Linked DNA regions of Caenorhabditis elegans. The protein of the gene in region 1 interacts with the protein of each later gene in a pairwise test. Each region holds a gene or a part of one and is shown on either strand. Other genes may lie near its edges. The genes, in order: rps-15, bcf-1, F56B3.2 and Y57A10A.24.

Evidence for each region.
Region 2: the proteins of rps-15 (region 1) and bcf-1 interact in a two-hybrid assay, tested with the Caenorhabditis elegans proteins (one large-scale study listed by BioGRID).
Region 3: the proteins of rps-15 (region 1) and F56B3.2 interact in a two-hybrid assay, tested with the Caenorhabditis elegans proteins (one large-scale study listed by BioGRID).
Region 4: the proteins of rps-15 (region 1) and Y57A10A.24 interact in a two-hybrid assay, tested with the Caenorhabditis elegans proteins (one large-scale study listed by BioGRID).

The regions. Positions count from the first base shown.
Region 1 is NC_003279.8:8,815,055-8,817,921, forward strand, and holds rps-15 (Small ribosomal subunit protein uS19), read right to left. Parts: upstream 1,140-2,867; 5' UTR 1,132-1,139; coding exon 1,025-1,131; intron 950-1,024; coding exon 727-949; intron 672-726; coding exon 546-671; 3' UTR 518-545; downstream 1-517. Other genes in the region: F36A2.9 (Lipase_GDSL domain-containing protein), read left to right, coding at 1,927-2,195, 2,554-2,658, 2,703-2,867. UniProt on the Caenorhabditis elegans protein: Negatively regulates lifespan.
Region 2 is NC_003283.11:6,402,769-6,410,499, forward strand, and holds the start of bcf-1 (bacterial colonization factor), read right to left. Parts: upstream 6,016-7,731; coding exon 5,890-6,015; intron 5,838-5,889; coding exon 5,614-5,837; intron 4,824-5,613; coding exon 1-4,823.
Region 3 is NC_003282.8:763,549-770,408, forward strand, and holds F56B3.2 (EB domain-containing protein), read right to left. Parts: upstream 5,037-6,860; 5' UTR 4,860-5,036; coding exon 4,772-4,859; intron 4,485-4,771; coding exon 4,403-4,484; intron 4,336-4,402; coding exon 4,274-4,335; intron 3,365-4,273; coding exon 3,138-3,364; intron 3,082-3,137; coding exon 2,922-3,081; intron 2,248-2,921; coding exon 2,125-2,247; intron 2,080-2,124; coding exon 1,787-2,079; intron 1,296-1,786; coding exon 1,139-1,295; intron 737-1,138; coding exon 630-736; 3' UTR 513-629; downstream 1-512. Other genes in the region: col-103 (Nematode cuticle collagen N-terminal domain-containing protein), read right to left, coding at 1-116.
Region 4 is NC_003280.10:12,241,283-12,248,165, reverse strand, and holds Y57A10A.24 (EB domain-containing protein), read right to left. Parts: upstream 5,221-6,883; 5' UTR 5,172-5,220; coding exon 4,909-5,171; intron 4,201-4,908; coding exon 4,081-4,200; intron 3,977-4,080; coding exon 3,791-3,976; intron 3,226-3,790; coding exon 3,091-3,225; intron 2,891-3,090; coding exon 2,684-2,890; intron 2,025-2,683; coding exon 1,915-2,024; intron 1,855-1,914; coding exon 1,740-1,854; intron 1,251-1,739; coding exon 906-1,250; intron 713-905; coding exon 631-712; 3' UTR 537-630; downstream 1-536. Other genes in the region: txdc-12.1 (Thioredoxin domain-containing protein), read right to left, coding at 6,194-6,546.

The DNA.
Region 1 (2,867 bases):
TATAACAAACACGAAATCAAGTGGGAGACAGCGAAGTATGTGACGAGGAAACTTATTGCCACCAAGTCGAACATTTTTGATACCTTTCGGAGAAATAAGAACAAAATCTATCCATTTTTTCACTTAATGTTGATGAGAAAAAATGAGAAGCCGTTTTCTAAAATTATGGCCTTTTATTGCAATTCTGTGTTCGGACTATTCTGTTCATTAAAAGCAGCGTATTGCTGTGTAGAAGAATGGTAATCACGGTATTCAGATTGGTCGATGACATCCAGGGCCAGCAAGTTCTCGATATTCGTTTACTTTTATTAGGAATACAAAAGAAATTCAAAAAATTTGGGTGGTTATTTTTGTGATAGTGCGGGCTTCCGTAAAGGCATTCGCATCCAATATTCAACTGACCCTTTCAACTCGCGCGGACATTTCGACACATTCTAATATAAAATCATCACGTTTCTTCGAATTGATGTTATTCAACCGTGTATAAAAGACAGCAACATAATTTGATCAACTTTAGAAACAAGTTTATTGTTCAACAAATAACTTTACTTGAGTGGGATGAATCGGGAAGAGTGGGTAGCTCCAATACCTGGTCTTCCGTGCTTGACAGGCTTGTAGGAGATAGCGAACTCTCCGAGATAGAATCCGATCATCTCTGGCTTGATTTCGGTCTGTAACAAAATAATAATAATCATAATGTTTTCGCATTTATTGTAATCGACTCACCTGGTTGAAAACCTTTCCGTTGTAGATTCCGATGACTCCACCAACGAGCTCTGGAAGGATGATCATGTCTCGGAGATGGGTCTTAACGGTGGCTGGCTTCTCGAGAACACCAGCAGCCTTCTTGGCCTTTTGGACCTTAGCGATGAGAGCCAAGTGCTTTCTCTTGAGTCCGCGATCGAGACGTCTGCGCATGCGGCAGGGGAGAAGCTTGGTGAATTGTTCACTGGAAATAAATAATTGTTCTTGGAGATGACCAAAAACCAGACATTGCCGGCAAAATATTGTTTTAAAAAATTACCGGGACATGTCCAAAAGTTGGTCCAAGTCAACTCCTCTGTACATGAACTTGCGGAAAGTTCTCTTCTTCTTCAGCTCAGCGAGATGGGCATCATCTTGAGTAGCCATGTTTAACCCTGAAAAATCGATTACTTTTTTTGTTGCAATATATGGATATTGAAAAGAAAGTAAATAAACATATGGAAGAGAAGTGAAGAAAACTCGTCATGAATTATCAAAAAGAGCACTGACTTACATATCGTAAAATTTAATTAAATAAAATCTGAATTAATGCAACTTCCATTTTATACATTTTTACGATAATTTTTCCATTAGTTTCACATATTTCTCTACAGTAGGAAAAGAAAAATTAGTATTTCTATATTAAAAACAGGTATTAACACCAAAAAACCAGAAAAACCGTGAAAAAAATCGCGAAAAACGGAAAATTTTGTAAAAATTCTACTGACAACCGAAGCTCCGTATCGTTCATCATTGTTGAGTCGCTACTCAGCGCAGGTTGGCTGTTCGCCAGAATTCGGTGGAGCGCGGTTGCAATTCTTATATTTTTATCAATTTTTCGGGCCTGATAAACGGAAATTGGTGAAAAAAAAAGTTTTGGAGCTTCGTAATTTAATTTAAATAATGTTATTCTCAAAATAAAAAATGTATTCAACTGCTGAATACAAATTATTTTCATAAAATGAAGTTTCGACCAGAATTTATTCGACAATAATTAGTTATTTGAAATTCTTGTCGATTTAATTTTGTTTTTTAAGCATTGTTTTCAATTTCGAACTGCAAATAAAGCATAATAGAGTTTGGAGATCTATATTCTCTCCTTTTGACGATTCTACCTTTTAAATATCTTCTTCTTTAGCCTTATCGCAAGCACTATTTTGTCTTCACTTTAATTTTTTCAGAATGCGATTAAACCTACTTCTACTACTTCTATTTTATTTTGCACATGGATCTGTGGTTCCCAATGTAGACCAGAAAATTCTACGCGGGGAGTTCCATGACGAGGGAAAGTTTATGGTGGATTATGAGGATAATTCGCAAAATTTGACCGATTATGCGAGCCGAAGAAGCAGTGATGACGATAAAATAACTCCAGAAGAACAAAAAAGGCGTGGAAATGACAGTACAGAAGTTTCAGAAGATGATGATTCAAGTGATATAAGTGAAGAAAGGTGTGACCATTTAATTTAAAATCATTTTTTCTCACCGGCTTCTTGCGATTTACAAAATTTGGACAGTTCAGACTTATAAAAATGTGGGGAAAATCAGCCGATTATGACAAATTTTTCGACACTGCTACGTCATCACACGAAGATGAAGAAGGGTTTTCAATTTTTGAAATTAGAATGCTAAAACCGCATGGTCTGCTTCTCCCAATTTCAAACTATCCTATTTATTTTTGTTGAGTTACTTAATTTTTTAATCTTCTTTTCCATATTAGTTTCTTCCAATTAAACGCTTTTTGAATGAGGTCGAGTGATGGTCTTCCTGGAACTCTATGAAAAATGACAAAAACAATTATTATTTCAGAGAAAGAGACAGTGTGGATCATCAACATCTCAAATCTCTGACCGCCATCAAACCTGAAAAACATCAACCAGTGGCTGGTGTAATCAACTCTGCATTCAATGACAGGTTTATTTTTACTAATATATTGATAAAAATGAAGCTTTTTTCAGAAAGACATTCTCCTGTCCTCGTATCAAAACTGAACTTTTGACTGGAACGAATGTTGGAAACATATCTCCTGAAGATATAACAATCATTGCTGCAATGGGAGATGCTCTCGCAACTGGAATTGGATTATGGCCAAATGCGGATATCGAGTTTCGAGGTGCCAGTTT
Region 2 (7,731 bases), on another chromosome or scaffold:
AGTGATAAGTAGTGACATTGAAACCTCCGACGATTCCAGTCAATGAAGCGCATTGTCCGGAACAATAGGTCTCAGCTCCGAGGCTCAACGAATTGTAGGTAGATTGTAGACCAACGTAGCACTTGAGTGGGTTAGGAGTACGTGGTGGAGAAACAGTTGGGTCGAGGCAAGCATCGGTAGAACAGCAGCATCCGGAAAGTCCATTCTCAATGGTAGTACAATTGTTGTTCATTCCAAGTTGATAGCATGTGCTGACTGGATCGCAAGTGTAAATTGTAGCGTTGGTGAGAGCTCCATTGTACATGGTTGAGAGAGTAGCAGAAGCGCATTCTCCCTTACATGCTTGCCAACCAGCGATGGAAATTGGCATGTTATTGACGTAAAGACCAGAGAAGCAAGCGATTGGATAATCACGGAAGTTCGTAACTGGCATTGAAGTATTGATCTTTCCACCATATCCAGCCAAATCGACGTTGCAGTTGTTGTAGTTGTCGCAGCAGCATCCCGTAACTGTGGTATCATATGGAAGTGGTTTGCACTCGTCGTACATCTCGAGTTGTCTGCAGAATTGGGTTGGCACGCATCCGAAGATAGCAACTGGGTCTTGGTTGAGGGTAGCTTGAATTGAGGCGCACTTTCCTGGGCAGAAGATTTCAGATCCAGTGGCCTTTCCTTGAGCGTAGATTCCAGCGAAGCACTTGCGGAATCCAGATGGTACAGTCTTGTTCTTTGGTGGATCAAGGCAGAGATCAGTGTTACAGCAGCATCCGGAGACTCCTGGGATTGGGGAGGCACACCAGTTGTTCATGTTGAGAGATTGGCAAACAGTGCTTGGGTCGCATCCGTAAAGAGTTGCTGTGGTGGCAACTCCGTTGAGTGTAGTGTTCAATGAGATGGACGCACATTGTCCCTGGCAAGCTCCGAGAATGACTGGAGTAGATGGAACACCGTTGACATAAAGTCCAGTGTAGCAAGCAATAGCATAGTCGACTGAAGTTGGTGGTGGTGGTGGAGTGATGGTGGTATTGGCAATGTTACAGTTGTTGGCATTGTTACAGCAGCATCCAGTGACTTGGTTGTCATTCCAAACTGGTTTGCAGTTGTCGTAGAGTTCAAGGGAGTTACAGATCGAGTTTGGCATGCAGTGATAGGTGTTGACTTGGAATCCACCGACAACTCCTGAGAGGGATGAGCATTGTCCGTTACATGGAATTTGAGCTCCAACGTTAACTGCGCTTCCATTAACAATGTAGTTCGAGCTGATACCAGCATAGCACATAAGTTGGTTTCCTGGGTTACGAGCTGGATAGACTGTTGGATCAATACAGGCATTGGTGTTACAGCAGCATCCGGTAATTCCGTTCTCAAGACTGGAGCACTTGTTCAGAATGTTCAAATTACGGCAAACGCGGGATGGATCGCAGGTGTAAAGAGCAGCGGTTCCGGCTTGTCCATTGAATTGAGATGTGATTGATACTGAGACACACTCTCCTTGGCAAACCTGCCATCCAGCTGAGCTGTAAGCGGTTCCGTTGATGAAAAGTCCGGAGTAGCAAGATATTGGAGCATCATTGAGTGGAGTGAGTGGGATGGTGGTGTTGATCACATTGGCAAGATGGGTCTGTTGAACGTTGCAGTTATCAGCATTGTCACAGCAGCAAGCTCGGAATTCTGGGTAGTATGGCTCCATGCGGGCGCAGGAATCGTAGAGCTCGAGGGAACGGCATAGAGAGTGTGGAACACAAGCGAAGAGGGTCACGTTGTCATTGGCAATGCGAGCGCTAACAGAAGCGCACTTTCCGTCGCAGAGTTGTTCAGCTCCGGTTTGAAGTGATGGCACGCTGGTAGAGTAAAGTCCAACGTAGCACTTGAGTGGTGGAGTTGGAACGGTCTTTCCTCTGTTCGGGTCGAGGCAAGCATCACTGTCGCAGCAGCAAGCGGTTACTCCAGCTTCTGGGGAAGTACAGTTGTTATGAACTTTAAGTTGGTAGCAGACAGACGATGGATCACAAGTGTAGAAGGAAGCCGTGTGCAAAGTTCCGTTGATCGTAGCATTGATGCTGACAGAGGCACATTCACCGAAGCAAACGGAGAATTCCATTGGAGTTTGGTTGAATCCGTCAACGATAAGACCAGCTGGGCAGGTGATTGGATATTCAACACGTGGACGTCTTCTTCCGGGATTGTTGATTGGAGGTCTTGGAACAACTTGATTCAAGTTGCAGTTAGGTCCATTGGTACAACAACATCCAGTGATATCTCTATCATACCAGAGTGTGCGGCAGCTGTCATAGACGTACAAGCTGTTACAGACGTATGCTGGGACACAAGCGTAAACAGTGACGTTAGCGTTGGCAAGTGTTGAAGTAACAGATGCGCAGTTTCCTTCGCAGTATTGTTCTCCTCCGGCATTGAAGATGGTATTTCCCTTCAAATCATAGGAGTAAGCTCCGACGTAACAGAGGTTTCCATCTCCATATGGTTTACGTGGTGGGGTGGATGTTGGATCGAGGCAAGCATCGCTGTCACAGCAGCAAGTCTCGAATCCTTGTTCTTGTTGGTGGCATCTGTTTGTTGAGTTCATCATTCTGCAGATGTAAGATGGGTCACACGTGTAAAGAGAAGCAGTGGTAGCAACTCCGTTGTATGTGGTGTTCAAGTTGACAGCAACACAATCTCCCTTGCAAGCAGTCCATCCTCCGTCAGAGATTTGGCTTCCTCCAATGAAAATTCCAGAATAGCAAGCGCGTGGCATCTCATTTGGTGCAAGTGGTGGAATGGTGACGTTGAATCCAGACGTAGCAACGTTGCAGTTGTCGAAGACATCACAGCAGTACGCGTTGACGAATCTGTCCAAGTAGAAAGTGTTGTTCGAGTTGTCAAGTCCAAGGGAACGGCACATAGATCTTGGAGCGCAATGGAAGGCGGTGACATAGTCGGATCCGACAACAGCGGAAACGGTGGCACAATATCCGTCGCAAAGAACTTCAGCTCCTGCGATGTTTCCCTTGTGCTGGGTGCTGATACCGACGTAGCATTTGAGAGCTTTTCCTGGAACACGGTTGTAGGTTGGATCAATACACTCATTGGAGTCACAGCAGCAAGCAGTGAGAGAGTTGTCAATGGTGGAGCAGTTGTTACGAAGTCCCATCGCGGCACAGGCACTGCTTGGATCGCAGGTGTAGAGAGTAGCGTAGTGAGAGTTGTTATTGACGGTTCCTCCAAGGGAAACAGACACACATTCTCCGTCGCACATGCGGTAGTAAGGCTGGCTGATGTTTTGTCCGTTGAGATGGATTCCTTCGTAGCAGACAATTCTTGGGTCACGACGAGCTGGGATGGCAGTGACGTTGACTCCAGCTGGGGCAAGACAGTTGTCAGTTTCTGAGCAGCAGCATCCAGTGACTTGTGGGTCAGCTCCTGGGATTTGTCCACAGTTTCCGTAAGATCCTCCGAATCCGAGTCCGAAGTAGCGGCACATTCCAACTGGGGCGCAGTAGTAGACAGTTGCGTTCTTTCCGTTGACAACAGAGTTCAAGGATCCGCACCATCCATCACAGAATTGGTCTCCTCCAGTGTTGTATTTGTCTTGTGGAATAGAAACTCCAGAATAGCAACGAAGTTGTGGGCGTTGAGATCCTCTGTTTGGATCAATGCAAAGATCATTGTCGCAACAGCAAGCATTGACTCCTCCAAGAACGCTTCCGCAAGAGTTGGAGATTCCGGCTTGTTGGCACATTGTGACTGGATCGCAAGTGTAGATGGTAGCATTGTGAACTTGGTTGGCGAAGGTGGTGGTGAAGCTAGCTGAAGCACACTCTCCTTGGCAGAGTCCGTAAGCAGAGTTGGTGATGGAAACTCCGTTAACCCAGATTCCTCCGTAGCAGAGAACTGGATACTTGGCGGTAGACACAGCAGAGTTATTCACACGTCCGAGAATGTATGGATTGTTAACGTTGCAGTTGTTGCTAGCAGAGCAGCAGTACACCTCAAGTTCCTCGTCTTGTGGTGGATTGTAGGTTTGTCCTTCAGTGGAAGCAAGTCCGAATCCAGCGCAGACATCGTATGGCATGCAAGTGAAGTATGAAACTTGTTGTCCGTTGGCATTGAACCTGACACGTCCACATCGTCCTTGGCAGTTCATTTCAGCTCCGAGCCAGGTTGTTCCATTGTAAAGTCCGACAGCGCATCTGAGCTGCTTGACTGGGTAGACTGGTGGAACAACAGTTGGGTCAATACATTTGTCCATGCTGTTGCAGGCACAGCCGGTGATGAGAGCGGTTGGGACTCCATTGATGTTTTGGGTGTCAAGGTTCATGCATCCGTTGTCGAGGTTCAAAGCAGTGAAGACGTTGACTGGGTCACAAACGAAGATCTCTCCCCATACATTGGCTCCATTGTAAGTGGTACGAATACGAGCAGATCCGCATTCTCCCAAGCATTGAGAGAAAGATCCTCCGTACAAGAGAGCTCCGTTGACGGAAATTCCTTGATAGCATGTCTGGTTGTTCTTGTTCCATGGAGATGGAGTTGGTGGGTTGTTCATTGGAGCGAGGCTAGTACAATCTTGCTTGTAACAGCAGCATCCTTGAATGTTGGTTCCAGCGAGATTGGTGCAGGCGATTGGATTATTTGGGTCAATATTTGGGAAGATGCTGTCGCAAAGTCCTTGTGGCATGCAAGCGTAGGCAGCAGCGTCATATCCGTTGTAGACTCCAGAAACACTGGTACATACATTTCCTGGGGAGCAAGTGACGGTGTCTCCTGATCCGAATCCTGGAGTAGTGTTGTTGGCATAGAATCCGACGTAGCAGAGGATGTTGCTGCAATTAATACATTCAATTTATCTTCACTTATCTTCTTTGATCTTCCTTCAGGGAAGTTTTTTGGTAATTGGTAAAAATGTACTATCAATCTCTTATCACACAATTGGTTAAAATATTTCCGAATTTCAATGCCGAGGAGCTAACTAGCCACGTTTTATGGTTGTGTTGCGTGCGTTATTGGCACAGTCAGATAAGAAGCGCGCCCAAATGTAAACCAATTATTCCATTATTGTTATCAGTTTGACGTTGACTGGCAAATTTACACACGTAACAGTTTGTGGTCAGGAATTGAACTAGGACAAAGTATAGTAAAAGAAAGTACAGTGAAAAAGTTCAATTTTAGACTATATCGCTGAAAAGTCATACTAAAAAAATAATATTATATAGTAAGAAGTTAGTGCGATTTCCGGAAGGAGTTTAAAAAATTTAAGGCTACACATATTTTTGATCTAAAAACGATGGATTTCATATAAACGTTAAACATTTGAATCGTACAAACTTGAAAATGTTTTAAAATTTGGAAAAAAATTGCTCAAAACCAATCGCTAAAGTTAAAAACAAATCTACGGGAGAAATTTCGACGTGTGTTTTTAGTTTCTCTAATATTCAAAATTTCGAAATATTAAAAAAAGTTTCAATTGGTCAAAAAATTAATCTGATTTTGCATCAGTTTTTCTCTTTCGCAGCTGTTATCAAAAATAGTCGTTTATCAAAAGTTACTATCAGAGACTTATGCAAACCTCAATTCCTATCAGTTGTCAAAAATAACAGTGATAACAAAACTCACTTTGGGGCATTAATAACTTCGATTGGCTTTGGAATATTTTCTTCCAAGTCGACCTTGTTACACAACTCATCCTCGCAGAAGCATGATGTCTCAAGCTCACTGCTGGAGCAATCCTGTCCTTTGTTAATGAAAGCCATAAGCTTGTTCTCTTCGCATGTCAAGAGAACAAGTCCTCCGCTTGGAGATTTGACAGTTTGTTTTCTGCACAATCCTTCGCATTCTCTCTGAAACAGTTAAAGTAAATATATAGAATGTATGTATATTAGATGGACGTACCAATTCAACAGACTTTGATGTAATAACATTTTCCGATACAATTAGATTTCCGACTAAGCAGTTTTGTTTAGCACTAGCGAAACTACAACAGCCGGCAAGTGCCAGCAGGAAAATGCCCAAGCGCATCTGAAATTTGAATGTGTTAGTGAATAGTAAGATCCTTAAAAAACACAGTAAAGCAAGGAAGGCTCTCAGAAATAAAATTTGAGAAAAAAATCAGTAGGGCTTCTTCGAGTAGAGAGAAGAAGTGAAGTGCGACCTGGCGAGATGTAAATTAAATAGAATGAGGCTCTTATAATGAACAGTCAAAATTGGTTCTTGGTCGCCAATCGGTCCTTGTTATACGGTAGTTGCCCTCTCTTGATAAGAGCACGAAGTGGGTGGAGTCTCAGAACCTTGGAGGCGAAACCTGTGAAGCAGGATACGAAATTAGTGATTTCTGCTGCAAGAGAAACAATGAGAAAAAGAAAATGAGCTTCAAAAAAGTAGTTGGAGCAGGAATTTTGGGTGTATGTGAAGCGTTGGCAAACCCAAATACTTAGTCATCCGATTTATAGCTGTAATCTAGTTTCAGCTATCTAACTGTCAATTCGTCATTTGGTTAACCAAATAAAATTTTTACTTTACTGTGGTTTGCATTATTTTTTATCAAAATCACGCTAGTTGTGAAATATTGAAAAATGGAACGAAGATAAGCCTGAAAATGAGTCACTAGCGGATTTCATTCTGGCGGTTTGGAGTGTAGTTTTTTGAGAAAAAAAAATAGATTCGGAGATGACTTATAATCTAAACTCAACATTTTAAATTGCAATATTACACATTTGAATATCCACCAACATTAATTATATCCTGCTGAAAACTCCGCGGTAAACTACACTACTCATTTTTGAATTTACTTTTTGCCTCATTTCACTCGTCTGGTTGTTATCGAAACTGATCATAAAACATGGCAGTTTGAAAACCAAATCAAAGAAATTCCAATATGTATCAATAAATCAAAATTCAGTCCTGGAATAGTCATTTTAATTAAAAACCTATAAACCTTATAATTTGAAATTTTTTTAACTGTTCAGATACTCCTTCGTAGATATTTTATATCATATCTGACACCTTTATGCTCTGGGAAAACATACACCTCAGAACTCTTTAGAAAGTTATATTAAACACACTCATATAAAAATAGAGTAAGGGTTTCAAGACCATGTCTGAGTCGAATGATAATTGAATTAAAATTTCAAGCACAAATTTGTCAAATGTACAAAACACACCTTTTGGAGCACTTTTACTTGGGCTGTCTAATAAGTATTTTTAAAAAGATGGTGCCAATATAACCAAACGCAGCAAGGAGCAAGTTTTAAATAACATAACTTTTGAAATCAAGGAAAAAAAATGTGATTTTCATATTCTATGTATTTGTGTGTGTGTGTCTTTTGTCTTTTTTTTTCTATCATATTTTTATATAAATTGTAAAAAAATTTGAATATGAAATTATTTTGGGAAACTTTTAAAGTTCTTACTAGTGAACCGTCAGAAGGTACCCATTGGACTTGCATATGAGATCTACGCCATTCGATAGCCCATGTCTTAAAACGGTTACTCGTGAATTTTTAGCTGCAAAACTCCAGAACCAAGCTCACGGCGGGCTCTCAATGATCCTAAAATAGCACTTTAACGAAGCATTGGAGGGCCAATTTTCCAAATTCACTTTGGTAGATCATATCTCCGCGGATAATTTTTTTACAGAAAAGTCATCAACTGATAAGTTGTTGATATTGTTGTAAAGAACAAGTTTGTAGTTGAAAGTTTTTTCCCAAAAATTTTTTGTTTCAGATAGAAGCGCGT
Region 3 (6,860 bases), on another chromosome or scaffold:
TCATCATAGAGAGAGTTGACGTCATTGAAGACCTGGGCGGCAAAGAAAAGACAAGCAAGAATAGTCACACCGGACAGCACTGCTGCCCCGGTGGCAAATTTGATTGAAGCGGACATTGCTGTACCGACTGACGAATTCCGTCGCTCGAGTTCCTTTTATACTGAATTCTTACTAGGCATTTGAAAACGGTTTCAAGGACAGTTCTCTCTCCGTTTTCCAATTTTTCCGTTTTCCTGACCGAAAAACAGTCCGAAAACCGAAATTAACCGTCTGCGTCTCGTTACAGAATTCTCAATTTTTCCGTTACGTTTTTTCCCGAACGTCCTTGTCCTCTTCTTCGCCCAACCAAAACATCTTCCATTTCTCTGATTCTCTCACTCACTCACAGTCTCTCTCTAGATAGTTTTGTCTTAACGGTTCTACCGGGTTGACTTGATTTTGTTGACTAGATAGATGGCATAGGGCATAACTTTTTCGAAGGAAAAGAGATAGAAATGGGCAGCTAATTTGATGTTTGAGTTTTTTGGGGAAAAAATCTTCATTTTGAAAAATTTTATAATTAAAAAATTAAAAAACAATTCAATACCTCGTAGTAAAAAATAAAGACAATGAGATTGCGGGAAGAGAAATTATCCAAAATTGAGTCCGCCACCTCCATTTCCAGCTCCGAGGAATTGTCCGAAAAGTTTGAACAGGTCGTTTCCAGGATTGATGGGCACTCCGGGGATTATGGCGGCTGGAAAAATTGGAATTTTTAAACGTTTCAAAAATCTCATATGTGGTCAGATTTTTTGGAAGAAATTCAACTCTGAAAAAAACCTCAAACTATTCGTAAGTTTCACAATATTTGCCTCAAAAACATAGCACCCGGTCTTTCAATAACTGCAAAAGGGTATGTACCTTTAAGGATTTTTCATTTAACAGAAATTTATCGCGGCGAGACCGGGTACCGTCTTTTTGAGGCAGAAGTCGTGGAATTTCAATTTTCGGTAATTACAAACATCATAAAATCGTTTATTTTTCAGTCGAAACTTTTCAGAAAAATTTATTCTCAATTCATTTTGTTTTCAGAAAATATGTAGAGTTCTTTAGTTTCATAACTATCTGAACCGCCTGAAGAAAAAACTTAAAAACTCACGTGCTGGTGCTGAAGTCGTCGTTGGTGGGGCTGGAATCTCAACGCATTTTCCATTTTTCGCTGCAAACCCACAACGGCACATGCATCTTCCACGGTAGCATCCCGAATTTTGTGGACATTGCTTTTGAATGAAGCAGAGGGAATTGAGCGGTACAGCCTGAAAAATATATAGCTAAAGCTTGAAAATTATTTGTTGTTTGGCTAGTTCAAAAAGGTAATTTCGAATTTTAATTGAACCTGAAATATATATTTTTTTCATTTTAATTGTGCCGAAGGATAAAAAACACTTATAAATATTTTGTTAACTCACGTGGTTTCAGAATGTCCCATCTCGGTTTTATCTACAAAAAAAGCGGTAATGTAGACGTAGACTTCTCGATTGATTTTGCATGGTTAAGAACGTGCTAACGTCACATTTTTCTGGGGAAAAAATTCGCGCATTTTTTGCAGATCAAACCGCGATGGGACAACCGCATACAACGTGTTAATTGGATATTTTTGAATAGAACAACCGACAACCGAGATATAAGTTGTCAAAGTTGAACAATGAAGGTGCGATACAAAGTCAAAAATTAAGAAAAGTTCCTACAAAATACCGCCTGCCTACCTGCTTACAAACCTACCGCCTATTTGCCCCATCTCCCTTACCTTCATACAACTTGTGTCCTTTGACAAATTCTCACTCTCACAGTCCCTCGAACACGATTGAGATGGATTTTTCAATGGATTCGTGAGCACATCAACTGCTGGGTGGAAATTTTGTTGACATTGACACTGTCCCTTCATGCATTCCATTCCCTCTCCACCACCACATTGAGCATTCGATGTGCACGCTGAGTTGAGTTGCCCACGTGGCATACAGTGATAGTCGACGTAGAGAGCATTTGGAGCCATCGCATTGCATGGACGACGGCAGCAAGCGGCTTGGGAGAAACTTCCGTCTGAATTTGCATTGCAAATAAAATTTTGGATTTTATTGAAATTACCTGACAAAAAGTAACAGTAATGGGAATCAGATGGGCATTTGAGAGCTGGAGCTGCATCTGGATCACAAGAATATCTGGTGTCCGTGGTAGTGTTTAATGGGCAGATCACGGGGCAGCAGTGCCCTGAAAAGTTGTGTTTTTTGTTTTTATTAAAACATTTGAAATTCCGCCGAAAAGTGGGAAAAAAATGGAAAGTTATAAATTCCCTACTATTTTTTTGTTGGAACATTTAGAATTTTAATTTTTCGAAAAAATTTCTCAAAAGTTAATATTTAAAATTCCAGTCAAATTTTTTAGTTAAACAGAAAATAGAATTTCCTGTCAAAACTTATTTAAGATTTAAAGTTTGAATTGGTGCCAAAAATTTTCAAACAATTCAGATTTGAATATCTTGCCAAATAAATTATAAAAGTTTAAAAAATGATTCGGCCAAAAACAGAAGAAAATTGAATTGCATACCTCTTTATTCTTTTAAAAATAATTTCAATTTTTCGCTTAAAATGTAGAAAAATCAAAATTTAAAAAGTTTGAATTGGAATTCTCACCAAAAAATTAAGGCATTTTATTAATTTTATTGCCAAAACTTCTCGAAAAATCTGAATTTCAAACCAGAAATTTGCGAGAAATCTTTTCGAAAAAGCATTTAAGCTCCCACCTAAGTTCAAAAAATAATGAATTCGATTTTCCGCCAAGATAGTTTTTCGGATACATAAAACTTGAATTTTCGCAAAAATTTATTTTTTTCTCAGTGACTACAAACTACAGAGAATACTAATTAAGTACTGTTAAAAACCAACCAACTTGACTCTCCCCAGCAGTAATACAAACTTGACCCATTGGACAATTGTCTTGATTTGAAGGAATGTTAAAGGCGAGTGATGGATCGGATTTTCGAACACAGCTCTGTCCTGGAAGCTTTCCGAATGGACAATTGGCAGCAGCTACGCATCGAGAGCCCTGAAAAATATTTCATTTGAATTCAAATAACTTATTAGAATTTAAATAAATTATACCATTTGAATAGTTCCAGTGATGCAGACGCATTGCGAATTGACACATGCTGAGAATGGAGAAGTACAATCATAATGTCTGGAACAACGATCTCCGACTCGAGAAGTTGTAATGCATTCTCCATTTGACACTCGTGTTGTTCCACGTTGCACACACTGGCATTCACCGTTACGGCAGAAAAGGGGCTCGCGGCATTTGGAGGAGCAACGGGCTCCGATTTTTGCGGGTACTGGAAGAATTGTTTGGTCATGTTTGTAATAAATATTCATTATTTTTCAATCAGTGTAAGGTTTAAAGTGGCCAAAATGATAGAAAACAATCTATACGATTTTTCTAAATATTTTAACAATTTTTTTTCAATTTTTATGTTTGAATTCCCGCGCAAATTAATAATCTAGATTTTATATTTTCGCGCATTCCGGTTGGTTTTCAGGCTTATTTCAGGATTAATAATTCGAAAAAATAACACGAAAAAAAACTTGCTGAGACTCTGAAATTGATATAAAATTTAAAAAAAATCAATTTAAACGTTTCATTAAAGAGGTGGGCGGCAATTGCCATTCGGCACTTTTTTTGTCGGCAAATTTGGCAAATTGCCGATTTGCGGTTTGCCGAATAATCAATTTTGGAACTTTTTAGAGGGATTTTCATAAGACGGAAACATTTGGAACTGTGCCTTTTTGAAATTTTTTGCCGTTTTTTCTAGATATTTTCATAGAATTTGCTTAATTTTCAAAATTGATGTAGAAACACTCATAGAAAGAGTACAATTTTGTCGATTAAAACTGAAATTCTGAAGCTTCCAAAAAAAAATGTGCAAAACCACAATTTGCCGGAAATTTTCGGCAGTTGCCGATTTGCCGGAAATTTCAACTCCGCAATTTGCATTTAAACATGAAAAAATGTCGTAAAAGTTTGACAAATTTAGTTTCAAATCAAAAACCTTTTGAAAAAAGCCCGAAAACTCAAAATTGCCAAAATTTGCTGCTATTTTGTTGTGCCAAATTGAAAAAAAAAATTTTCTTTAATTCAGAAAATTTTCATAATTTTTACATTCATATTTGTTACATTTAGGCAGGCAAAAAAATCAGAGAAAAATTGTTTTTTTTTTCATTATTTTCTCATATCTAAAACTCACGTGGTGCACATTTTGGAAGACGCCCCTTCTCATCTCTAGTTTCCGTGTAGTGAGGGTGGCATCTAAAATAATAAAGTTTATTTTTAATCTTACCTTATCATAAAATGTATTTCAAAACAACTAATTTACCTGCATTTTCCTCTCAAACAAATCGATCCTTTATTCTCACAATCTCCATTTATATCGCAGACTCCGTTGAGAGCGGATTTTCCTGAAAATTAAAGATGTTTGTTTTTTTTTAATTTTAAAACGTTTAATTTCCAACCAAAAAGGGGCTAAATTTGGTTATAGCCTATCAATATTTTGAAAATCTAACAAAATTAATTTTTACGACTTTTCATACTTTAATTGTATTCCAAATGTTTATAATCAAGATTCGAAAAAATTTGGCAATTTACGGAAACTTGGGCTAAAGTTTTTGAATTTTTAAAGAAATCTTAAAATTGTTGGAGTGTAAAACTAAAATTCCTACAGAAAAAATCACAAAAAAAACCTTACCATTACAAGGAGAAAACTGCGCATCTACCAGATAAAACATCAGTAGTATTAAACCAGAAAAATGAATAAAATTTCGAATTGGTAACATATTTTTGGCCTCTTCTACTATGTCTTCACTCGCGAACTTGGGTCTTTGGCGACAATTGGCCTACATTAGAAGGAGAAAGTAGAGAGAAAGGAGAAGCGCAGCAAGGATCCGTATAAGGGGAAAGCGAGAAATATCGATTGAACACTGGAGACGGATGACAGTTTGAGATGATGACATGAATAAAGAGGGAGGATGAGAGAGATATATGTAGATATATTGTAACATACAAGATTTGATGTAATGAGTGAATCATTTAAACAACTAAAATGACGTAATTGTAACAACTGTAACTGTTTGCTTCTTGATCTCAACTGAAACCGCGCCCTTTTTCAGTTTGAAAAATTTCAATGATTTTTGAACAAATAATAAATTCATATTTGGAATTCTTACATCAATATCTGCAAAGTCGTCCCTGTTTTCGGTTCTCTAGATATTTGTCAAAAATAGCGCTCAACTTGACAATGCCCTTTGGATCGGCGTGTTCACTTCAAATCAAGGATGCGCAATAATTTTTTTTGAGAGGGTTAAGATACTTTTGAACTTTTGAGAGATGACTGTGCATCGGCAAGACCGCGCCACTTTTTTTTCTTTTTTTTTGTTCGTTTTTTTTTTGAACACGTGGAATAATAACTCGTTCAGATTAAAATCAAATTTTTCATTTCTTTTTCAGAAAGGATAAAATAAAGTTAAAAATGAAAATTCTTCCACTTTCTCGAAAAAACCAAAAAAAAAAGTTGAAAAAAGGTCAGATTCATCTTGCAAATACAATGCTCCGATCAGTTCCTTTTCTGCATCTGTATATCCAATTTTGCAGCTTTTACCTCAGAATTTGGAGCATTTTTTGAAGCTGAAGCTGCTCCACCAACTGGAATTCCAAAACGGGCGGCACGGGCGGCCAGCTTATCATCTGTGGCAGGCGTTTTTGGAGTGATTCCGAATCTTTCAGCACGTGAAGCCATCGCGTCTTCTGATGTTAGTCGTTTTGAGTCTTCTGGGAGATCAAATCTGGAAAAAATGAGGGTTTTGGAGAGGTGTTAGGGGGAAAATTGGGATTTTTGGGTGGAAAAATGAGCTTTTTTGCACTTTTTTCAGTGAAAATTTTGCATTTTTGGCACTTTTTGAGTTAAAACGTTGAAAATTTAGGTTTTTTACAGTGAAAAATGGGGGGTTTTTGGAGGGTTTAAAGTGAAAATTGGGATTTTTGGCATTTTTTGAGTGAAAAATTAGAATTTTTTGTGTTAGAAAGTTTGAAATTTAGGCTTTTTTAAGTGAAAAAGTTAGATTTTAGGTTGGAAAATTTAGACTTTTGGCATTTTTCTAATGAAATTTCGGAACTTTTGAGTGAAAAATTGAGATTTTTGGCATTTTTTGAGGCAAAAAACCAGAAATTAATGTGTTTTAAAGTGAAAAACGGGGGGAAAATTAGGATTTTTTTTTGACTTTTTTGTATTATAAAGTCAGAAAATGGCTTTTTTTTAATGATAAAATTGGATTTTAGGTTGGGAAATTTGGAATTTAAGGCATTTTTCTAATGAAATTTTCGATTTTTCTGCTGATTTTAAGCGAAAAAATGAGATTTTTCGATTTTTTTTGAGTGAAAATTGGGATTTTTGGGGATTTTTTCAGTGAAAAATCAAGATTTTTAGTACTTTTTCAGTAAAAATTGGGATATTTGGATTTTGTGCATTTTTTACAGTGAAAAATGACAGACTTCAAATTATCGTTCCCGAAATGCTCGACGAGTAAACGCGCTCCATTGAACACTTTTTTCGCGCGCATTCAAATTTAGTTTTTTCATGCCTCCAATATTTTTGTATGGAAAATTGATCGTTTCGCACTGAATTTGTAAATTTTGGAAGAAAATTTTTAACCAAAAATGCTGAAAAAAAAATTAAAATTAAATTCTTGAAAAAAAATAAATTTTTTTCACATTCCAAAAATCACAGATAAGACTACAAAATAACATGAGGGCACTCCTCGGAAAAAGCTGGGAAAAAAGAC
Region 4 (6,883 bases), on another chromosome or scaffold:
ATAAAACTTCAATTCAGTTTACTTATGTTTGCAAAAATATTCAGGCTTTAGGTTTTTAAGCTTTCAGGCTTGGACCGTTGAGCCCAGACTTGGATGCTAACATTTGAATTTAGATTTTCAGAATTATGGCTTTTGCTTAGGCGTAGGCTTGGGCTTAGGCATAAGCTTGGCGTCAGCTCTGAAAAAACATAGTCTGAAAATGCTCTCATTATCTACACACTCCAATTTTTCAGTGTTAAATAAATAAAAATTTGACTCCTAACTTTTTACATTTTTATAGTTTTATTAAAGAACTTGTTATTGTGAATCGAATGCGTTATGAATTATTGCAAAATCTTTGTTTGGCTTTATAGAGCAGTCTGAAAATGCTCTCATTATCCTAGGCCTAGGCTTAGGCTTAGGCTTAGTCTTAGACTTGGGCATAGGCTTAGGCTTAGGCTTAGGTGTAGTCTTAGGTGTAGGCTTAGGCTTAGGGTTAGGCTTAGGCTTAGGCTTAGTTTTCCAAGTTTTTGTATTAGGCTGTTTTTAAATTAAACTGTTTGAAAACATGTTCATTAGCTAAAAAAATATTTAAAAAATATAGAATTGGCACAAATATTCGAAAAAAAAAACAAAAATCAATAATTAAGCCTAATAGACCACAGGCTTCCGAATACAACATAGATAACTGTCGGTAGTGGAAGATGGTAGACACGTGTAGCCGAGTGGGCAGCTGGAATTATTTTAAAATATCGATTTTTGAACGTTAAACGTTTTCAACAATATATGTATGTTAGAATTTTTTTAATTCCGATTTAAAAAAAAATTTTAAAAAATTGGATAAAGATAATAAGATAATACTGATTTTTAGAGTTTCAAAAAACAATCGAAAAAAATTTTTTATTTTTTATTTTTCTGGAACTCACTCCAACGTAAACAGTGATAGACAACGCTGCACATCTTGATTAACATTTTTCGACGGCATATATGAAAATGGGCATGTCGGCTGCGCAATCACTTCTTCCTCTTCAATCGGCTTCTCAGTAGTTGTAGTAGTTGATGACGTCATAAACGTAAATGGCCCAATCATTGGAATCTGTGGTGGAAGGATTCGGTTCATTTGAATAGTACAACACACATAGACATCATCAATATCAGATTCTTGACACGAATATCCTGATCGAAGAATACACGGATCTCCGATATGATCACAAATGTATGGGAAGCCGTTTTCCATGAGTGGACGGGCTTCAGGGTCTTGGCAGTTTGGACTGTAATAAATATTAAGATATGATTAAGATACCTTTGATGGTTTAAAAGTAAAGTAACGCCAGTGGGGATTGTGTCTAAATACACTTAAAATTATTTCAAATGACCAAATATCATTAACAAACAGTCCAAAAATTTTTAGATTTTTCATTATTCCCGGTCAGTTTTGGAAAATTGCAAACATTTTGAAAAATATGAGCCTTTGAGGAAATCCAAAGCAATTTCGCATGTTCCAACCCCTACAATTTTTTAATACAAATAATTAAAAAAAAATTACAGTATAAAAAATGTAGAAAAAAATTTTTTTTTGGTTGACTTCCAAAATTATGAGTGGCAAAAACTGAGTAATTGTCACTTTTTGATAATAAATAAAAAAATTTCAAAAATTTTTTGAAATTTTTTAAAATGATATTCGATCATTTTGACACCAATGGAGTAGTTTTAAACACTTTCCCCTCTGGCGCTACTTTGCCTTTAATTAAGCAACCTACACAGATTCAAAAGGGTATGGTTCTGCAGTAGTTGTGGCTATGGTTATGGGAGCCTTCATAGTAGTTGTAGTGTAGTAGAATGGAGGGGGTAGAAGGGTTTTACGGCTGTTGCCGACTGAAATTTTTTTTTTTCTTGAATTTTAGTTTTTATAGGTTTAAGCAATAAAATACTCACGTCGATTTTTATACCGCTTACAGCAAATATGGGCGGTCTTCTCCTTGTTCAGCTCACAAAATGCTCCTTGTGAGCACGCCGGAAAAGCTGGGTCACATTTTTCACCGGTTCTGGAATAAGAATCAATACTGGGATTTTTTTGTAATTGAGTCATAAGCATTTCTACAGTAATCTAGACAATCAAGTACATTTGAAATTTTAAAAAAACTCGAGGAAATAAAATTTTTGGAAGTTTTTTTTGCTCTAAATGACATAAAATAGTTTCAATATACCGAATGTAACTGTAGAAAAATTCAATAGAAGCACCTAATAAAAAAATTTCGAATTTGTTAAAATGATTTTTCAATTATTCAACAATTTAAAAAACGGCCGAAATATATGGTTTGCGCGGGAATTCAAATTTAATTCGGCCGTTTCTTAGATTTTTTAAAAATTGACGAAAAATCATTTTAAAAAATTAGAAAATTTATTTAAAAATTTTCCAGATATATTTGGTCATTACGGCTCCATTTTCTGGCATTTGAATAGTTTTTAGTGTTATAAATCAAATATTTTTGCAAAATTGAAAAAAAATCGTTAAAAATTTAGAAAAATTTAGAGAAATTCCATAAATTTTTCTACAGTTATACTCGGTATATTAAGGCTATTTTCTGGATGATAAACACTGAATTAAATTTTTTGATAATTTTTGACAAACGGAAACTGAGCTACAGTACCCCAACAGTACACTATACAGTATACAGTACTACAGTACAATGTAGTAACTTACCCATTCTCCCCATTCCTACAAACCATCTCAATTCTTGAACCGAATGATTCCTCGGATGGACAACACCACATCTCATTCTGAATTTCCATGCACTTTTCATTTCTCAAACATCCGGCTGCGCACACACTTCTCGCAAACACTCCTGACGGGCATTGGGCTAACGAACAACATACACGAAGACCCGTCGGGGTTAGCGAACATTCGTAGCTGGAAATTTGAAATTTGCGGTGCAATTTTAGTTTAGAAGTTCTGAAAATGTTTAAAAATTTTTGTGAAATTTCAACTTTAATTTTCAAAAAATCAAAAAATTGATTCCAAGTTTTAGATGTTTTTCGGAAAGTTTCGAGCAAAAAAAATTAGCTCCTGGCTATTTTAAGAGCATGGCTTGAGCTGTAAAATTCACTTACCCCATCCCACATGGCTTCTTGTTACAGTCCCTCGGCACCAATCCATTCATCAAAATTTGACTTCCAACACCACAAATATCGTCAGAACTTTGACAGCATACCTCTACGTTACTGGTGCGGAATTTTGCGCAAACTCTGAAAATATAGAATTTGAAAAAAAAATTTTCGAATTTAATTTTTTTAAATTAGTTGAAATGTTAAATTTAAAGCATCATACATACAATTTTGCCAATTTTTTTCACAAAATTTTCGGCAAAAAAGCTTTTGTGGTGGGACCCAAAAATTCGAAATATTATTTAACGTTTGATTTAAAAATTTTTTTCATATTATGATATTTTGTTTGAATTCGGGGTACCCCGAAATAAATCTGAATTTTTACTTTTTTTCTATAACAGTTTCCAGGAAAATATCGGTTCTGAAACTTATCGTGGTGGGACCCAAAATGTTCAAATGTTAAAAAAATTTAATTTGTGATACAAACAGTTTTATGCTTTTGTTCAAATTTACAAAATCAAAATCTTCAATATTATGTGAACTTTCTGAAAAATCTAAAAAAATTTGAAATGTTCAAAAATAATTTTTTTGGGCACTAAAAATTTTTCTCCAGTTTTTTGGTGCAAAAATTGTAAATTTCGAGTTTAGGTAACATTTTCGTTTAAAAATAAATTTTTTAATTTTTAAAACGCAGTCCAAAACTAACCCCTGAACACAATCCTTGCACAAAACCAGAGATTTCCCATCATGTGCAATAATTGGATGGGATTTCGGACAGATTTGGGAGGAGTCTAGTGACGTCATCAGTGATGACGTGGATTTTTGCATCGGCTTTTCCTTTGGGAACGGTGCAGATTTGGAGAGTTTTAATTGTGATGTTATCGGGAAACTTCTGTAAAAATATGGATTTATTTTATTTGTAGTTATAGTTTTTATTTTAGAATGGTCTTCTTCTCCCAGAAAACCAAGAAGTGGGCGGAGCTTAAAATCACCAACTTTTCAATGCTCCTGTTTGAGCAGCATATCGACATTCCATCCTGACTACTTGATACACAAAATGATCCATCTGGGCAGTTATTCTTACGTTTTGGAAGACATGGAAAGCCGGTAGACATCCTGAAGTTTGAGTTCAAATATTTTTGGCGCGAAATTCAAAATTTCAGATTTTTAGCAACTTTGGCGCGACTTTCAGTTTTTGAATCTTTAAAATAGTTGGGGCAAGCTTCAAGTTTTAATTTTTTTGATATAATTTTTTTTTTTGATAATTTTGACAGAAATTTTAAAATTTCAATTTTCGCCAAATTTAGATATTTCAAAAATATCAACAAAAATAATTGGCGCCCAATTTAAATATTAAAAGAAATTTCAAAAAATGGTGCTAAATTTAATTTTTTAGAAATTGCAAAAAAAATTTAGCGCCAATTTTAAATATTAAAAAAATTTCAGAACAATTTTTGCGCCAATTTTAAATAATTCAAAAATATCAACAAAAAAAGTTGGCGCCAAATTTAAATATTTAAAAACTTGCAAAACAAATTTGGCGCCAATTTTAAATATTTAAAAAAAATTTTAAAAAGTGGCGCCAGATTTAAATATTTTAAAAATTTTAAAACATTGTGACGTCAAATTAAATTATTTAAAAATTGCAAAACAATTTTGGCGCCAAACTTAAATATTCCAAAAACTTCAAAAAAAATTGGCGCCAATTTTAAATATTTGAAAACATTTAAAAACAATTTGGCGGTAAAATAAAATTATTTGTTTTCAAAAAACAATATATAATCTGCGAAGTTTAACACAAAATTCAAAAAAAAATTTCCTCACCTATAAGCCGGATGCCTGCACTGCGGTGGCGGTACACAACATATACCCCTATGACAAAATGCTCCAAGAGGACATAAGCTTGCACACGTCTTCACGTGCTCCGTATCCGTTAGTGGAAGCTGTCCAACAGGGCAAAGATCCTTCAGATACTGATAAGGAGAAGCTAGGGCTTCAGAATTGGCAGAGGTGATAAGATTTATTAGAAAAATCCAAAGAAATTGGGAATTTAGAACTAAATTTCGAAATTCAAACTGCGAATTCATATTGCTGGTAGAGAAATGACCCGACGATGTATAAGAGGAAAATAATTCGGAACATTGGAGAAGAGACGTGACATATTCTGAATATGAGGATGTTTACATAACTACTCAAATATAGGGAAGGAGAGAAAGTTTCTTAATCCCTTAGGAAACTGGTTTTGATTAATCCTTCCATGTAGGCGCCAAAAGGCCTGGTGTGCCTACCTTGCGGCGACCTTCACCTGCCTCGGGCCTTCTGTATAGTGCGGAACCCGAAAAGTGTCGGCCGCGGCGGAAGGCAGGCGGGCAGACAGGCGTCAGGCCCTGAAACCGCGCCTGCCTCCCATGAAAGCCTTGATTTAGATTTGAACCAATATGTGGGCGGTGTATTTTAAATCTCCTATTTTGTGGCAAAATTCAAATTTTTTTTGAATTTTTTTAAATTAAACAATTATCGAGAGCAAAATTCAAAAATTCATGAAATTATAAATTTTTTCAAACAAAAAAAATTTTGTTCAGATTTAAACTTCAAAAAGCTTTTCAGATTTTCTAAAATCACCGAAAAAAGCCTGAGCCTAAACCAAAGCCTAAGCCTACGTCTAAGCGTAGGCCTGAGCCTAAGCCTGAGACTAAGCCTAAGCCTAGACCTAAGCCTATGCCTAAGTCAATTTCAAATGAATGCAAAATTCAAAAATTTCAAAAAATTAGTTTTTTCAAAAAATTAGTTTTCAAAAGTTTTTTGGCTGGAATTTCAAACTTTCCTGAATTTTTCAAAATGTCACAGATTTTCCTAAAACTTTTTTTTTTTCTAAAAAATTGGCTAAAAATTTTCAGGCACAAAATGCAATTTTCATAAGATTTTTAAAATTTTTTCGAGGTTTCGAAAAGGTTTTTGGCGCGAATTTAAATTTTTCGTAAAAACCGACGTATCGAGAACCAGTTTATTCGTGATAATAATTAATAATAGTTAACAAGATTGGCAAAGAAATGATAAGAAATAAATTAGCTGAAAATCAATCAATAAATCAATAAAACAATCTCTATTCTTACAATTCCTTCTTCTTTCCCTCTGGCTTCTTTGGCTTAAGCTTATCACCTCTCTTAGCCTCTGGAATGTCAACTCCAAAATGTTTAAGCACATCCTTCATAGAGTTAAGGATATCAGCTGGTGATGAGTAGTAATACGCGTAATTTTTGTATTCGGCCTTCTTATTTTTGAATTCTTGAAGAAGATCTCCATTTTTGTCGAGGAAAAGCAGACGTGGAATGTACTTTCCGTCTGGACGGTACTCCTCCTCGAATGGCTCGTCGTCGTCTTCGGTGTTAACCATTACAAAGTGCTCTGAGAGCTTTTTGAAGGCTTTCTTGGCGTTGGATTGTTGGAAGGTCTTCTTGAGAGCTGGAAAATTTGAAAATTCGAAATTGAAACATTTAAAAATTAGGCTTAGACGTAAGCTACAGCTTGGGCTTAGGCTTAGTCGTAGCCTTACACTTAGACTTAGGCTCAAACTTAGGCTTAGGACCCCAATAGATTTTATCCTTTTTTCAGATTAGTGGAATTTGTTTGGAATTTTTATTGAATTTTTGAAAGCTTTAAAATAATTTTTTATATAATTTTTGGAATTTTTAAAAAAATTTTGAGGTTTTTTCTCGCATTGGATTTTCTGGACTTGAAATATTTAAACTTCAAATTTTTTAAAACCAATTTTCAATTTTTTCACAAATTTTTAAACGAA